Drosophila melanogaster: one gene and its partners. The protein of the gene in region 1 interacts with the protein of each later gene in a pairwise test. Each region holds a gene or a part of one and is shown in the gene's direction. Other genes may lie near its edges.

Region 1 (7,020 bases):
TGCCACCCCCTATCAGCCCCCACCGCCCCCCCTCGACAACCGTGTAATCCGACCGCAACTACACATGGCAACGTTTATTCGGAATTCCATTTTACATCTGCCCCGGATCCGCCAAAAGTGCGAAAATTAAATGAGCCACAAGTCGGAGCGAAAGGACGAAGGACCTCCACACCTCTGTTTGTGTAGGTGTTTTTCCTAGTTTTCCTGCCCCTGTTTGCATAAATTTTTGCCCACTTCTTTTTGCCAAATGTTTTTCGAGGATTGAAAATTGCCTAAACCGTCGTTTGGATCGCATTTGGGCATATATTTGCATTTGCTTTGCGGTCTGGAAATAAACGAAATGGAATAAGTTGACCGGGCAGATGATGGCGAAAAATATCGGAATAAGCGAAAGTGAAACTTAAGAACGGTTTAAACTTATTTAATTAGGATCCATGAAAGGGCAAAATTCTAGGAACACAACGTAATCATTTGCATAAACGTAGAACTGCAATAAATATTATTTGCGCCCAAGGTTGCGATTTTGTATATATTTATTACAAGAATGCCACTCACCTTCATTTCAATCAATATATTTATTTTCTAGAAGATTGAAATCAATAACCATAACTCTTTGGGAAATGTACTGGAAAACCTTGAAATCTATATCTTTACTTATGTTAATTACAAATGACTATTTGAAATAAATAGTCAAGTTATACCATAAGTTCGATAATATAAATGCTTATACTATCCTACTAGAATAATTTAATATTTTGCATATAAGAGTATAATTACATATAATTACCTCCTGAAGCATTAGTGAAGCATCAAACAGAAACAACTCTATGCAATCTTCCTTATTAGCTGCCGCCAACAATTAAAGCCAAGTTAAGCTCGGTAGCTTAGCAATTAGGTCCAGGACAGTAAGTTGTCCAATGGCTAAGATCAGCCGTGGGCTTAAGCAGAAAAATGCATTAAACAATGGCTAATATAGCATGTCTGCTCAATTTCAATTAAACGAATCGAAACAAAACTATTTCAACCAACAAGTTAAACGTTGTTCCGACCATATCGATGCGCAGTGGCTTGAGTGACATGTCCTAATTCGTAAGCGTTGACTTTTACCGGCATTTCAATTAACCCAATTAATGGACGGGACCTAATTAAATTTTGAATTCATGTTGCCAGCAAACGCACACTCATCCAGCTGCCTAGTTGCCCCGCACACAGATACGCCGGCACACACACCCTCGCAGGCGAACACACAGACATCAGTCAGCTGTTTTCTGCTGGCCAGCTGTCGTTCGAGTGCGAAGGAGATGGCGCGAAAGCCTCGCAATTCGGGGGTGGTTGGGGTACTGTTGGGGGTGGCAGAGGATGGTGTTGGATGGTAGCAAGGGGGTGGCTCGCTGTAACAAGTATGTACTAATGTCGGCGTCTGGCTAACTGAGACACGGCTATGAATGAGTGCCCCAAACGGAGCAAGCGGGCCACTGAAACTGTAGCTCGATGACCTTGATTATACAACACAGCAGCAGCGCCACCACCCCCCAAACCAGCTCAAACTCTACCAGACCCACAAGCAGCCCTGTTCGCAGCAGGGCCACTCCTTCAAAATACCCTACGTCAAATAAAAATGGCAAAAAAGTAGTCAGAGGCTACAGACACTCGAAAAAATAATAAGGAAATCTAACTAAATTGTACAGTAACACAATATGTTTATGATGTTAAACTTAAAATATTATAAAACTAGATTGTATCTCTATCACATATTCTATATAATTTAGAAATGTGCACATTTAAGTAAAATAATTTACCACCACAACTCATCTTAAACTTCTTCCTGGCCTACAGATAAGCATTCTTCAAAATTGCTTAAACAAGCTTTTCTTCGAGTGCACCCCAAGAGTCGGTGATGGTAACTGGTAACTGACATTACAACAAATCATCGGCCAGCAAATGTTGGCAACTGGGTGCCAAGTCAACGAACTGCTAACCGCAACACAGACACCGACCGCCACCCACTCGAACACATATATAAATTGCCGTACGGGGGCGTCATTAAAATTGCAACAGGGCCTTGAAGGAGCAACAGAGCAACAGGGGGGGAGGGGGTGGAGATTGGAGCGCTCCCCAAAAGACCAGAAGACGAAATCAAAAGATCAATAATTATTATGATGTTGCAGCACACCCGAAACGAGACGCCTTCAGACCGCAGAGCCAAGTCAAGACGGGCAGGTGAGACAAGGGGGGCGGAAAGGGGCGAAAAGGGGAGCCCCAAAAGCGGAGGGGCTACAGCCGAAAAGTTCGACAAGCGCATTACAACAGTTCGGGGGTAGAAAGACAGACGACGGATGAAGAGTGGGGTAGGGTTGGCCAGGGGGGTGCGCTTGCTTACAAGTGCAACCATTTTGTAGTACAAACTTCGAAAACCAAAAGCGAAATTGGCAAAACAAAAGGCCAGCGAAGGGAGCGAGGATGTGGGCCCACCTCCTGACTGCCTCCATTTGTGGATTGTGGATCCCGCAGCCACAGCTGGAGTCGGTCATGCGCACTCCGTCCAACCGATTGGCCCGCTTCGCCGCCATTTAGAAAAGGCCCACCAAGTGGAAGCGAAAGAGATGGGCTTGCTGCCAGAAAAGGACGGAGCGTGAGAGCGCTGCCCGCAGAGCGAGTGCGACAAAAACACCTGTTCCTGTTTCGAACTCCCCCCCCCCTGCAGGCCGTCAGTCCATCGAGTCGGCTATCCGCTATCGGCTATCCGAGAAGTACACGCAGAACTGGCTCGGAACCGGTTGCAGCTGCACCAGTGCCACACCAGTTCCCTACCCTTGCGGAGCGACGAGCTAGTCGCACTGCTCTCGCAGGCAGAATGTATCTGCGAGATACATTTCGGGGTGAGTGGCTGGCTGGCTCGCTAGCTCGCTGGCTCCCTGGCGTGCGGATAACGTACGGCAAACGGAACGAAGCGCCGACCGGTTTAGTCGTTCAGCAGTCTCCGTGCAGTGAGCATGTTTGTGCGCCAGACATCGTCGTTGGTCGGTTGTCGTCATCGCTACTATATAGCCGTCGTATCGCGAACATCGACCGTCTTAGCTCGATAGCCGTCGGATTTGCCTTTTCGGATGCGAGAGACTCTTAAATCCCTCACCATAGATCCAAATCCCTGCGAACAAAACGCGTGTGCGCACACGGATCACACAGCCGTGATAATCCCGCTAAATTCGCCGAAAACCCAGTGCTCTGTGTCCCGGTCTCATATTGAGTAATTCAAGCAAACTTCACGGAATAAGTAAACCAGTACAAGTGCCTTACACAAATATCCCTGCTCAATGCCGGAAACTTCTTGAGTACGGCCCAAAACGAAAAGGCGCCCGCTCTCAAGATTCCCAGCCCACAAATATCTCGAGTGTGCTTCGCCGAGTGTCCTGTCAGCCAAATATATGGTAATGGCAGAGATTGGTGGCCATTTGGCTCACCAGCTACCGTTGCACAATCACAACCACAATCAAACTGGATTACAGCCATCGCTGGTGATGAACCATCACCTGGATTTGGATTGCCATGGACACGATGTGATAAGTGAGTACCGATATTCAAGGGCTGCTGGCTTTCCGATTTCGGGCTATTTGGGCTGCATCCTTGAAAAGGACGATATTTAATACTGGAGATAGCACGATCACTTACCTAGGGACAGTCTTAAAAAAAGAACAATGGAATGCCCTTCCACAGTTTGGATATGAGGCTATTGTATCTTCTAGATACATTTGTTGGTTCTAAGTACTTTCGGTCTGTTTAAGAAGGCATTACAGTTTTTTTCCTTAGTTCCCTTAGATTTAAAATTTGGATTTAAATAAATGTCCTGACAAATAACTTAGAGGCTAATAGGGGTTTAGTCTAAAAAAGCGCTTTGTTGATCCACTGTAAACCAAGATTAAATTGCATTTTAAATCAACCTATTCAGAAATTGTATACCTGCAATTGAAACATCATTACATAGATCACGCATCAGTGTCGAATCATTTGCCGCTAATAAAGCTATTTAAAGCAGTTAATGACTTATTTATGGCTATTGTCCTAGTCCCCAAACAAAAATTGGCAAATTAAATAGTCATTAAACAAGAGCCACTGATGGGTAACTTTCTCGATTCGTAAATATGGAAAATGAACGAGGAAAGCCCGCTTTGGACATTAAAAGCCAATAAAATAAGTAAAAAGCCGTGTTAACAAATGCTCGCACCCAAATCACAGTTGTAAACTTGTCTTGCTTATTTTTGAAACATTTTAATGCCCACCATTTTAAATTCCAGATATCAGAGATCAAGGCTCGGACTCAAAGGTTCCGAGCTTTAAAACCATGAACTGTTAGTCAAGTTTATTTGTAACGAAGGTCGAAGTTATTTTTATACCAAAATCATTAAAAAGTTCAGGCACGCGTTGAACTCTTTCATACCTTGAGTTTTTAATTTTGCCAATGGATGTGATGTGAGCAAGGCTGCGCTAAAGTAATTACAAACAAATTAAAGTGATACCAAGAAAATACGAATCCATAAATAATTTTTATTGTGCCATTCTTTTGTCAAATTGGAGGATCTTTTTTTTTGTATATTGAACGACTTTCTGAGGTTCTATCTTTAGGTTCGGGATTTCTTTCGGGCCACAGTCGTTAGCCGACTTGTCGCTGCAGCTTTTGTAATGGGCTTAGACCCTATCTCGACCTGTCACTTGTTGTTTCAGTACGGCAATAACTGTTAAATTATAGCCGTATTTTATTTTAAGCACACTTTACATATTATATAGAAGCCAATTAACGGTTGAATGACATTTTAATGCTGAGCAATTAAGCGCGCAAGCAAAGCGGGCAAGCAATTGCATGAAAAAAGCTGAAAAGAGCTGGAAATGTATCACAAATGTATCTCATGCGATAATGTGACAAATTTTTAACTAGCCTAAAGTTTGTTAACCAAAATGCATTTTATGAATTCATAAACCAAGAGTGTCATTAAAAAATGCCATCCGTGTGTGACAGAAAGAGGAATATATTTTATTCAAATTTTATTTCGTATGCTAAATTGTGACAAATGTTTTGGCTGACAGTTGTCTAACCAAACGAACGACCGCAGAACACAAAAAAGCCAAACAAAAATTCCGAAAAAAAAAGGAAAACATGAAAAATCATAATCATAAGCACATATACTACATACAATGGGTTCGGGGAAATTGAATTATATATGAGGCTGGAATAATGCAGCACATGCAGTTGTAGCTGCGAATCATTTAAATTGCATTGAATTTTAGTAATTGTAATTTAAATTCAAATTAGTTGTCGGCCATGGAGCGCTGGTAAATATTTAATGTCCGAACATTTTAATTTGAAAACTTTTCACAAAGTTTCCTCCCCATCGCTCTGCTTAGTTGCTCTGTGAGTTAGTTGGCGGCTGACAAAACTTTAAGTTAGAGTTTTCCAGCTTCAAGTTGATATTTGAAATGAAAACAATTTTTGTAGTTTTCGTTTCGTCCCCCCCCCCTCTAGTATCAGCCAGCTCCACTCTCTTTTGTTAGTTCGCTTGGTTCCGAGGCGAGTTTTGTTTGTTTGTTGATTTTTGAGCGCTGTAAACATTTTAATGAGTTTTCCATGTCACAGACCCAGGCCTCCAGTCAACATGTCGTTGGCAACTTCTCAAGTAGTCGTTAAATTAATTAAATATAGTAAAAACAAAAAGAAATCGCCATCTGAAGTATCTGAAGAGCCTTTGTTTACTCTCCGTGCTCTATAGAAAATTATGTAAGTCCGAGATCGCTGCATACATCAGGGCGTTGAACTAGTTTCGGTTTTTCATGTTGGCGGCTGCCATAAAATTGTACCACTTTATGTTGAAGACCATCAAAAATTGACAATTATTTGCGGCCATAAAAGCCAAGCGATTTTTATTTTTATAGTTAACCAATTAGCCAAAAATTTGAATAAAATGCGAAGCGGGGGTGGCACGGATTTTCCCCTTACTCGTCGTACACATGTTCCCTAATCTAATTCATATTAATTCCATTTAAATTTCTCGCCAGCAAATTCACCGAATGCTAATTGGCATTTTCGATGAATAAACACAAAACCTTTCGAAAGTTAATTGTGAAAAATGGATTGGGCAAATGTTTAGCCAATGCACAAAAAGTTGAAATAATTTTTCGAATAATTTGTAAAGTGTCAATCGTCGGCCATATAAGGTTAAGTCGTCTGCGAACGAAAGAGAATGGAACCGAGTTTTCAGATGAGGCTGGTTATTTAGCCATAGATCACCGATCTCAGATCTCTTGGTTATTTATAGAGCTGCTGAAACGTCAGTGAAAGGAAAAGATGTTTCGTATACGCAACGCGATTCGATTTAGAGTGCCATAAAATTAACTATATTACCATTCTAAACATGCTTCGATCGATTTCGTTTGGAGTTTTTTGTTGTTTTTGATAGTTTCGTATTGGAAGATTCACTGGGTTAAGGTTGGAAATTGATTGAATATTTGCTTGAATAGTCATAGCGCTAGGTTTGTTATTCTTTCATATCATTTTTTGGCCTAACTTTAAGTGCATAACAACACAAAAACAATACGACAGTGGTGACGTCAGGAGGGAGCCACACCCATTAGTTCGAAAAAGGCAGACAGACGTTATCTATATTTTACGAGTTCCTATCCAAATTCCTGTTGTCCCTGGCTGACATTTTTTGCTTGCCTTCCCGTTTCCGGTGTGATTTTTATTTCGGAATCCCTGCTGCTGCTGCTTGGGGTGTGATAAAGTTATTTAGGCGCAATCCATAAATTCCCGACCTGAACCCAAAGGCCCAAAAAGGCAGCGCAGACAGAAACGTAAATCCCAAAGCTTATCTGATTTTGCACTTCGGTACCCGGCACTAGATCAATATGTTATGTTGGCCGGAGTTTTGGCTTGGCCCATACCTGAGATTCGGACCCAAGACAGCAGTGCGCCTGCGCCCAGTGTCACCAGTCCAGTTCCCCCTCGCCCTCGATATTCCCTGACATCATTTG
Region 2 (4,446 bases), on another chromosome or scaffold:
GGACTCAGATCCTGCAGTGCCCGGCGCTGTCGGTGCTCCTCCCACCTCTCCGCTGTCCGTGCTCGAGCTGATCAGCGAGTGAGCCACTGTGGGCGCAGCAGGACCGCTGACCAGGTGCGGCGGAGCGTGCAGGGGAACGTGTTGGTGCTGCTGTTGCTGGTGCTGCTGAGCGCCATGGTAACGCGGTTTGTCTGCCTTGCGCCACAGCGTGATCTCCTGTTGTTTGAAGTAGCGCCGGTCCTCGGTGTCCATCAGCACAAGGTTGAGGAAATACTTGACTGAGAACTTCTTGTTAATGTCCCGCATGGTCGGCGTGAGATTGTAGCCAGCAAGAAAGACCCGGATGGGTATGCTCTCGCCTTTGACGGGCGCTCCGTCCATGATCTCGTACTTGGCAATCGTTTCGTTTTCGTTAAACATGGTGGGGCCCGTGCCCGTGCTCTCCTTCTTGATGATCGCAATCTCCATGTGCTTGATCTTAATGCGCACCAACAGGAAGTAGATCTTGCCGATAATCGTGTCCCGCAGGTGGTACTTGCTTTTGTTATACTCGAATTCGATGTGCAGGCAGTCTTCGATGCCTACCTCCATCTTGATGGGGTTGTTCATCTCCGGGTAGCTGCACAGTGTGTGCACGGCGATGTCGACCTCCTTCGTTATGTCGCTGATCCGCCTGACGATGGTTGCGCGCAGGAAGTACCGCAACCGCACGTTCGAGCCGGCGTACACCTCGAATTGCTTCTCCACTTTGGGGAAATCGAATGGATAGCTGTTGTTCTGGATGAGATCGCCCGGGCGGGCCAGGGCCTTCGCTAGACACTTGAATTCGTGGTGGTTACCCCGGTCGTAGTACAGTTCGATCTGGCCAATGAATTCGATCTTAATGCCCTGGTGCTCCAGCTTGCTGCCCGGCTTCTTGAGGGTCACGTTCACCTGGATGAAAAGGGGGTGGATATGGGTTTATCTCTGGTTATGCTTGGGGGAACTCCCCCCGATGCTGACCACGACGCACCTTGCCGGATACCGTCTCCCCGTCGTAGAATAGCAGCATCTTCTCCACTTTGCCGTCCTCCCCTTTAACCTCTGCCGTCTTGTGCTCAGCTCCATCAAAGACTATCTCAATGTCCGCTGACTGGCCGAATCCCAGGAAATTCATAATTGATAAACGTCGAATCGGCTTCTTCTTCTTCCGTTTCTTATTGCCCCCGCCTCTGCTTCTTGCTGCTCCGATGGAATGTCGACGCTGTGACTCCTGTTGGCGGCTTTTCCTAGAGATATCTTTCTGATAACCCCTTCAATAAACCTCAGCTTTGATAGGCGTTTTTCTGCGGCCTTTTTACGTCCTTCGTTCCGATGCTGGCGTATCTGTCGCGTCTGTGTGTGTGAAATGAAAAAAATTGCAATTTTTCACACTACGGCGTTGCCATATCGCGTCAACCTGATTGTTATTAAGGAGTGCCAGCGCTGGTACTTTTCAGTATTCAGTATTTGCATGGTATTTCTTTAAGAAACACATACGGAATAATTAACGAAACAATTGATTGTGGATCCTTAATTTTCTTGGTATACAATAATTGTGTAAATATATTTCGTATTTTTGATTCATCTTGGTAACTTTTCGATAGTTGAATTCTAAATGGTCTTGCGCGGTATTTATATACCCGCTAACCTAGTATGTCAAATACCAAATCGCAGTATTTAAATACCGCACTTATTCAGCGGAACAAAACTAAAATTAAAGAAAATACCTAAAAGCCCTAACGATGCGAAAGTTGACTAGCTTCGTGTGCGGCACAGGAGCCGGACTGGCGGCTTACTACCTACAGCGGCTGCGGGACCCGCAGACGGTCGTGCAGAACTCGTGGACGCACAGTGATAAGCCGGTGGATCCGTGGGCCCTTTGGGACACCAACTGGGATTGCCGGGAGCCACGGGCCCTCGTGCGTCCACTGCGAAACAGCCAGCCGGAGGAGGAGAACCGCTACAACGCGGAGCTTGAGAAGGCGAAGGCCAAGAAGGCGCGCCACATTATCCTAGTGCGGCATGGCGAGTATCTGGACGTGGGTGACTCGGATGACACGCATCATCTCACGGAGCGCGGCCGCAAGCAGGCGGAGTTTACTGGGAAACGGCTCTGCGAGCTGGGCATCAAGTGGGACAAGGTAGTAGCCTCCACAATGGTGCGGGCCCAGGAGACTTCCGATATTATTCTCAAGCAGATCGATTTCGAAAAAGAGAAAGTGGTGAACTGTGCCTTCCTGCGTGAAGGAGCGCCTATTCCGCCCCAGCCGCCAGTCGGCCACTGGAAGCCGGAGGCATCTGTAAGTCAAGTCAAGGGTCAACCCAGTGCGTATTCCACATGATATTCGGCTTTCATTTCACTGCAGCAGTTCCTTCGCGACGGATCGCGCATAGAGGCCGGCTTTCGCCGATACTTCCACCGCGCCTATCCCGACCAAGAGAAGGAGAGCTATACCCTGATCGTGGGACACGGCAACGTGATCCGCTACTTTGTCTGCCGAGCCCTGCAGTTCCCCGCCGAGGGTTGGCTACGGATTAACATTAATCACGCTTCCATCACCTGGCTGACCATCAGTCCATCCGGCAACGTGTCCATCAAGTACCTGGGCGACTCCGGCTTTATGCCCGCCGAGCTGCTTACCAATCGCATACCGCGCGACGTCAAAAACGTGGTTTAGCCGTCTGTTTATAGAACTGCCCAAAGGAGAAGCAATCATAATGTATTTATTTCCAACACTTTAACTGAGACCTTGAGCACAGATCGCGAGACTGTGTAAACCACCATGTACATTTTGCCGCACCGTAACGTATATCTCTTAAGGAGGAATCATTGAATCTTCCGACTGAAATAATAAAGATTTTATAGAATGCCTAACATTTTATTGAGAATCCTTATATGTACAAAAGAAGCCATGAGGAGCCTAAACCCTGCTCAAGACCTTTTGGAGTCGCTGCAAGCACTTGCGTATGCCCACATCTTCTCCAGCGCCGCGTTTTAGCTCCACCTGCTCTGCCTGCTCCCTTATAAAGGATAGGATGGGAGCCACTAGATCCGGCGCCAGCTCTGCCAGGTTGATCAGCATCTGGAAGTAAAAGTAAGTGCAGTGGGCCAGGTGCTTTTCGGCGAGGGATCGCAAGTGATTGGAGCACATATCCCTGACCGCCTGTGATCGCTTGTAGGCATCGTGCGATATAAGCACTTTATAAAGTCCAAACACTTGGTTGCGACTGAGGTCCACTTCGTCCACGAACATTACGTGTTCCAGCAGCGGGATGTGCACGCCGCGCAAAACGGTTAGCAGCTGTTCTTCCTGCTCTTTGCCAGTGCTCTCTATCAGTTGCTGCATTATAGTGATCACCAAGCCCGCATGCTGTCCTGCCCTCCGCCGCTGGACCACCAAAAACTGGGTAACGAGGAGCTGAAGCACAAACTGCGCCAGCTCTCCATCTACATCCGCCTGGAGGAGGGTGGCATATGGACGGGCCACCAGCTTGGCGTTGGATGAGAAGCTAAAGTGCGGCGTCCAGTGCTGAACTAGTTGCTCCAAAGTCTTGGCCACGTATGCGTCCGTGCGGTAAGGCAGTCGACCAATGCCTTGCAGCAACACTGGGAAAATCTTGTGAACCACTTGTGGAAGGCGACCTTCGGGCGGCACTCCTGCCTGCAACTGCGTGGTGAGCAGGAACCGCACCATGGCCAGGTGGAAGAAGCAGCTCGGCTTGGATCGCACGTACGCTAGAGTGGAACAATTATAGATGACAATGGCTAGGAAGCTGTAGAACCGGGAACCGAGTTCCGATCGGCTTCGATCCGGGGGTAGCCATAGCTCGAAATGATTTACATAGGCATGCAGTTTGTGGCTCAACTGCATACGGACGTGGGCAGCAGCCTCCTCTTGCTGGGCACGCCTTCCCAGAGCTCCAAAGAAGGCGCAGAGAGGCTCGCGCCCGCCCTCCAAAGAGGTGGGATCAATGGCCAGAAGTCGGAACTCCTCTAGCTGTGTGACATGGGGCATTAAAGCCAATACAGATTCGTGTTGTGCGTTTAGGAGGACCAGAGACTTCACCCAGACCTGAAGAATGGTGGAGCTGGCAGGTCGCCCTCCGTCTTCCAACACCTGGAGCAACAACTGAGCAGAAGCAGCCATATTGATGGGTTCTGGTCCCTGCAGGAAGCCCAGTAGCAGTTTGTCCCCATTATTCTCCAGGGCGATGAAGTTAGCCGCTAGCTTTGGAAGCCATGAGCTATGGCTACTAACGTATTGGGTCCTCACCAGTGGCATTATGTGCTGTTGAAGTGCCTCCTTGATGCCACTCGCATTGCCAGCCACAGCTCTCCGCTCGCTGAGACGGAGGATTAAATTGTGAAGCGTCTGCCATACGCGATCCTGCGATGCCTGCCCACACTTTTCGACGTAATGTGCC
Region 3 (5,912 bases), on another chromosome or scaffold:
CCCATACATGAATCAAATGCTTTATAACCATATTGTTTGAACAGATAGAACGAAGTGGGAGAATACCTTAACGTAGAATTAAACCAAATTATCAAGGTTCTAGAACTTAAATCATTAGCTTGTAACGATAAAAGAAAGCAAAACGAGTTATTTGAATTTTACTGGAGGCGTCCTGAATTTTGGATTGTATATTGATTTGATTTCAACTGAATTAAGAATATAGCCAATAAATAAATGTAGAAATGAAGTAATTGCAAGGAATCAACAAATGGAATGTATTTTTGAAAGAACCGGAAACAGAAGCAGCTGAAATTAGCGAATCAAACTGCAAATGTTGTTAATACTAAGCTCTTAAATAATGTCCTTTGAAGTCACATTCAAACAAAGATTTAAAACAAGCTTGTAAGAAAAAGAAACCAATAAATACACACGTATATATATGGATACAAAACACCTCTAATTGAACTGTAAAATGTCTTAGTGTAGCAGAGAATGAAAGTAGTTATAGTATACATTTCTTTAAAAAGCATTATTCGAGCGAGTTTTGGATACTACCCTTCGAATCCGGGGTAGACTTGATTGGTCTATATAAAAATCCGACAACAAATTTACCACAATGGGAAATATATTCAAAATTTTGAATTAGAAATTTAAAAACGATAAAAAATGTATAATAGCTTCCACTAGCGTATCTACATATTTAGGAATCGGAGGAATGGATACACCTAGTAAACACCCATCTGAAGAAACTTCAAAACTTTTTGGTTTCATCTCAACTATGCGTGTGCGGCGAGCACTTGGATATCTTTGTATATACATTTGAATAGATTTTTTTAGTTGTTAGCTGACCTAGGGGAACAGGTATCTGAATATTATAAAAATCAAATGTTGCAAATTAATTTATTTTAGCGTTATAGACCCGTAGAACTGAATGCAATATGCTTACCTTAAAACTCAACATAATTTAATTCAATTCCTATTATCTTTAGTTGGATTCATTTTAATGTTTTATAGCAAAACTGTATATCATTGTAAAATAATTAAAGCATACGGAGTAGCAACTACAAGAGTTAGAACAACAATAAATGAAAATATCATTATAACTTTGTTAAAATTGTCGCAAGAGCAATTAAAAAATGAACCCAGCAACTTGAAGAATCGAAAATGAAGGCGAATCACAGAAACGTAAAAATAATAAAAATATTACATTTAAAATTTTAAGCTAACTAAATGTGTAAGAGTAAACTTTAACCACACAATATTATAGCACATTTCGGATTATCAAATATGCATATACAGCAAATATCTATTATAAACGGTAAATGTAAACCCAAAAAGGAAACACTGAAACAATCTATGTAACAGCCGAAATAGCGAAAACAACCCATGTAATAAACAAACAACATTTAATGTAATATTGGTATAACGTAATTTTTAAAGTGAGGTACTATAAATAAAAATTATTGAATAATTACATAAAATGGCATATTTCTCATTTTATTTGAATTGTAAGTGGGATTAATTGTACTAAATTTAACAAGTTCACTTAATTCTGGATTCACATTTTTATTATGGATAACAAAGTTTATTTAAGATGGTTATCACACATGTTTGTTATTATTTATTGTTGTAAAGCTAGCAGTAATGGAAACGTGAATTATGCTTTTTTGGCGCTACCGGTTCAAATTTAACCGCCTGTAAAGCTTTGCCTCTGTTAACCTGATCTTGGCTTAGGCAGCCACTGTCTTGGCCAACAATGTTAGGCGAGCTTTTCTGTTAGGCGGCTCTCCGCTCAGCTGGCGCATGCTCTCCCACATGTTGAACTTACTTTTGACCGTGCTCACCTAGAAGCGGAAGATGCCAGTCAAAGTTCTGCTTCCCATGTGAACGGTGGTATTTTGTATTCCGCGTTCCGATCGTCTGCACCGATTCCTTTCGCTACGCAGAAGATTTTTTACCAAGAAAAGAAAAAACTTCGCAGACTCAGCCCTTTTCGCTGGCTTCAGAAACAAACTTGGTTTTGGAAAAGTAATTTGTAAGTCTTGGCTATAAACAAACAAACAAAACGAATCGCAATAGTGTCGAATGGGAATTCCAGCTTATCAGTGGCAAATGAGCCTGAGCTAATTGATTAATCAGTATTAATCTGTTTATATTCGATTTAAATCAGCTCAATTGAAAGTGATGACTTTGTTAAGTGAAAGTGATATGATGTGTCTTCTAATTGAGTGTGAAATTTGCAAATTTACTTTCCCACTCGCGAAATTTGCTTGTACATTTGAGTATGGCGGAAGTGTCAATTCAAGAATTCGCATGATTGCGAATAATTTTCGAAAAAAACAGGACTGTGCGTTGAATTAGTAATGATAGGCGGAAAAAGTGGGGCTAAATCGGGGCAACGAAAGCACGGCCCAAAAGTTAACTGCATAAACAGTTTATTTTTGTATGCCAGAGGACAGCTGCAAGTTCAAGTGTACAAAACTCGTAACCCCCATGAAATTACATTACGCATGATACATACCAACACACAGCTATAGATGTGTGTATACACATATATGCATGGTACACGGGAGTATGACGTGGTGTGCGAAAGCCCGTCGCTCAACACGTTCTAAAATATTAACTTAAAAGACAACAGCAAAAAAATACGCAACAATAATAACAGCTACCAAACAACGTGCTTATTAAGAGAACCCACTGAGGGGTTATAAATATTGCGAGTGAGCGTTCTCGGAAGCAGCCCCCAAGAAAAGCTTCCTCTCAAGAGAGAAATGCTCTCTCCCTCTCTCTCTCTCACTCTCTGTATGCAAGACAGCTGATTGTCAGAATGTTGGCCTCAAATACCCTTAGACAACACCCCACCTCCCATTGCCCACCCAGCAGAAAACCACCTCAAACAGCCCACTTTTGTTTTTACAACAAGTGCCGCTGCTGGCGAAAAAGTGTTTGCTGATGTTTGCCATGTTTTTGGCCATTTGAACTTGACAGTAGGAATGTGGGTCTTGGCTATTCGCAAGAAGTGTGACCACATTTCGGGGTCTGCTCTAGAATACTTGACCTTGAAGTCCACGAAATTTATTTCGTTTTAAAAATAAACACCTGAAATGACATATCTCAAAACTTTCTCGTGTTTTCAACCAGTGGCAAATTGTATGCTCAAAACACATTGATGATCATGACTGATTTTGTTTTAACATCTTGTTCATGCTAACGTAAGAATATGTGAAAATTTTTGAAAATTTATAAATTGAACGCATCATTTAAATTAACATTTTATTAAATAGCAACTCAGTTGTCAGTATTTGTGATGGACGGCTCTTCAATTAAACGAAAAAGCCTTAAAAGTTACATGTTTGATGGTGTTTTGATTGATTGCCCCTAGCAATTAGAAAGTTGAAGCAATCACTATAAAATTTTTTAACAGGCATGACAAATAATTAAAGACCTTACGCCAAATAAAAACACAACCCACAACAGGTGCGATCGAATCTTTGGCTTTGAAACTTCGATTGGCGGCTTGAAGTGAGATGAGTAAAAAAAAAGAGTATGTGTGTAATAAAATTAAAAGCCAGTCAAGTCAAGTGGCGGTGCCTGTGTGGCTGTCATAATATACTTTGTGGCAGATGGGAGTCTTGTTTGCTGTTTTCGAGAGGAACCCAACCAGAGGGTGGGTAGTAAAAATAGACCTTCAATGTTACTAGTTACAATGCTTTAGCGTAAAGCTGACACACGCATGTTGGGGAGAGGTCCAGATGGACTAAATACGGCTAAACAAAACTAAAATGAGCTTTTATTAGTTAGAAAAAAGGAGTTAAATGTTGATCTCAGATGATATAAATCCGTCTTTAGCTTGTAAAACCTATTTGTCTTATAAAAGGCGAACCAATGCATATGCAATCCAAGAGAAATGGTTTTTAATAACGTATATAAAATGCATTCGAATACATGCTTTGCCATTCACCTGTATGGGGTTCCCTGTAAAGTATACCACAATTTATCTAAGTTAGTATTGACTTAAAGTTCGCGTAAGACAAGTTGGCCTGTGTATCCTTTATCCTGAATTATTCAGCAAGTTTCTTTACCTTGCAGTTTGCTGGCATCCCACACAACGAACGACCCGAAAATCAGTTGCTGGGCAACCCCTACTAAAATAAGGAAAATCGAAACGGGAGGAGGACCCACGGAAACTTACACGCAAGTGAGTAAATAACTGGCTGTAACTGACGGTCGTTAGGTGAAATTATCAATTATGCAATTAAAAGGGGTGGAAATTGTTGAAGCCGAGTATCTCAGCTGAGAGTTATTAAAACTTACGCCCGCCGCATTTATTGATCTAAATTAAATGCCAAGGTTGGAGTGGTATTAAAATAGTTGAACTGGTTGGTTTAAGAACCTATGGACATAACGTTGTTTAAATAGTTCTAAGGCTTTGTTGCACTAACTTTAACCTCATGTTTGAAAACCATACATATTGTACATATGTGCTCACTTCTGAAGCAATGTGGAAATGCCCTTAATAATTTATTCCTGAGTTGCTGTTTGAGTTTCCGTTTTTCTCATTACACATTTCATTTCCGTTCCCCTCGGCCCAAAATGAAAATGTTACAGGGCAATCGGACGTATACGTAATATGCTAATCAACTTTTGTTGCCAACAAGCTGGCGATAAACCAAGTACAAACCCCAACCTTTTCGAACAACTGTTGCGAAAGTAACTTTTTGCATGTGAGTGTGTCAGGATAACAGGGCTCCTCCTTCGGATGTAGAAAATCAGCCCAGTCTTAACCTTCCCTGTGGCCCTGCGCCATCGCCTTTGCCTTCGCCCAATTGACCCTTAACCCTTGCCTTGGGTTGTCTCTCACCTGATGGAACGTAGCTTGCTCAGGAGTCAAGGGCATCAGACACACACTCATGCAAATTGCATGCCTGATTTCACCAATTGATTGCATGCAATTGTTTTTTCCTTCGACTTCCACTTGTTTGCTCATCCCGAGCCAAATCCTTGCAAAGCGAAAACAGAACGAATGCGAATGTTAAGTAAGTGAAAGTGCTTAAACATTATTCAGTAGTGTTTCCAGCAGGTTGCTTCAAAAGAGCAGTCCTTGAAAATGTGATTCTCATTTTTGGAAACCCAGTTCATCTGTTGCACATACGTAAATCAGAGCTGTCATGTCCAAATGTCATTTTTGAAATGCATACCCTTTCAATGGGAAGTAATCAGGAGTCAAATAAATGAATATATAATAGTATTTTAGATCAAATAGTAATTGATTTTCTTGCATAAAGTAATTCCACTGTTAAAGTTTTCAAGGTTAAATCCAAATCTCACGAAGTTCCCTAAACTGAATATTTCATTTTGAGCAATAAACTGAATGAAAATAAACAATATTTTTGCGAGAGTGTCTGCAACTTTGCTATCGAAGCGAATTCCAAATATTTATGGCATTTGTTTGGTGTGCGCGAATTGTGAAATGAGATTTTGCGGTTGCCACTTTGTGTTTCATTGGATGTTTCTGCATGAACGCTTAATGGGCATATTAGTTTGCAGTTTGAAAAGTGGTTGCGGGTTAAACAGCACTTAGCTGAAATATGAAATTAATTATGTCTGGTTCGTTGGATTCGATTAAAGTTACAATAACATTGACACTAATATACGCAACTCAATTTGATGGGCATTAATTAGTGCTGCAGGCAAAACAAACTGTGTGCATGTTTAATTAAATAGTCAACTGTTTGGCCTGTGGCTACCAACAACTGCTCTTAAAGTGAGTTGAAGCTGTAAAACTCACTGGTCACGAAGTGGAGCTCTTGAAAATGCAACCCATCCGCCAGGCAATTTGCCATTTCTGAGCATTTCCTGACCGGTTGCAATTCATTTCCCATGTCCTGCCAGAATCCACAGCTTACCTTTTG

What was found. The genes of interacting proteins can lie anywhere in the genome.
Region 2: the proteins of tup (region 1) and Pgam5 interact in a two-hybrid assay, tested with the Drosophila melanogaster proteins (one large-scale study listed by BioGRID).
Region 3: the proteins of tup (region 1) and CG11883 interact in a two-hybrid assay, tested with the Drosophila melanogaster proteins (one large-scale study listed by BioGRID).

What each region holds. Positions count from the first base shown.
Region 1 is NT_033779.5:18,877,201-18,884,220, reverse strand, and holds the start of tup (tailup), read left to right. Parts: upstream 1-2,959; 5' UTR 2,960-3,425; coding exon 3,426-3,564; intron 3,565-7,020.
Region 2 is NC_004354.4:1,870,848-1,875,293, reverse strand, and holds Pgam5 (phosphoglycerate mutase 5), read left to right. Parts: upstream 1-1,728; 5' UTR 1,729-1,763; coding exon 1,764-2,321; intron 2,322-2,387; coding exon 2,388-2,699; 3' UTR 2,700-2,894; downstream 2,895-4,446. Other genes in the region: Vps26 (vacuolar protein sorting 26), read right to left, coding at 1-933, 1,013-1,156; CG14803 (uncharacterized protein), read right to left, coding at 2,943-4,446. UniProt on the Drosophila melanogaster protein: Displays phosphatase activity for serine/threonine residues, and dephosphorylates and activates Pk92B kinase. Has apparently no phosphoglycerate mutase activity.
Region 3 is NT_033778.4:10,615,802-10,621,713, forward strand, and holds the start of CG11883 (uncharacterized protein), read left to right. Parts: upstream 1-1,860; 5' UTR 1,861-2,035; intron 2,036-4,089; 5' UTR 4,090-4,198; intron 4,199-5,912.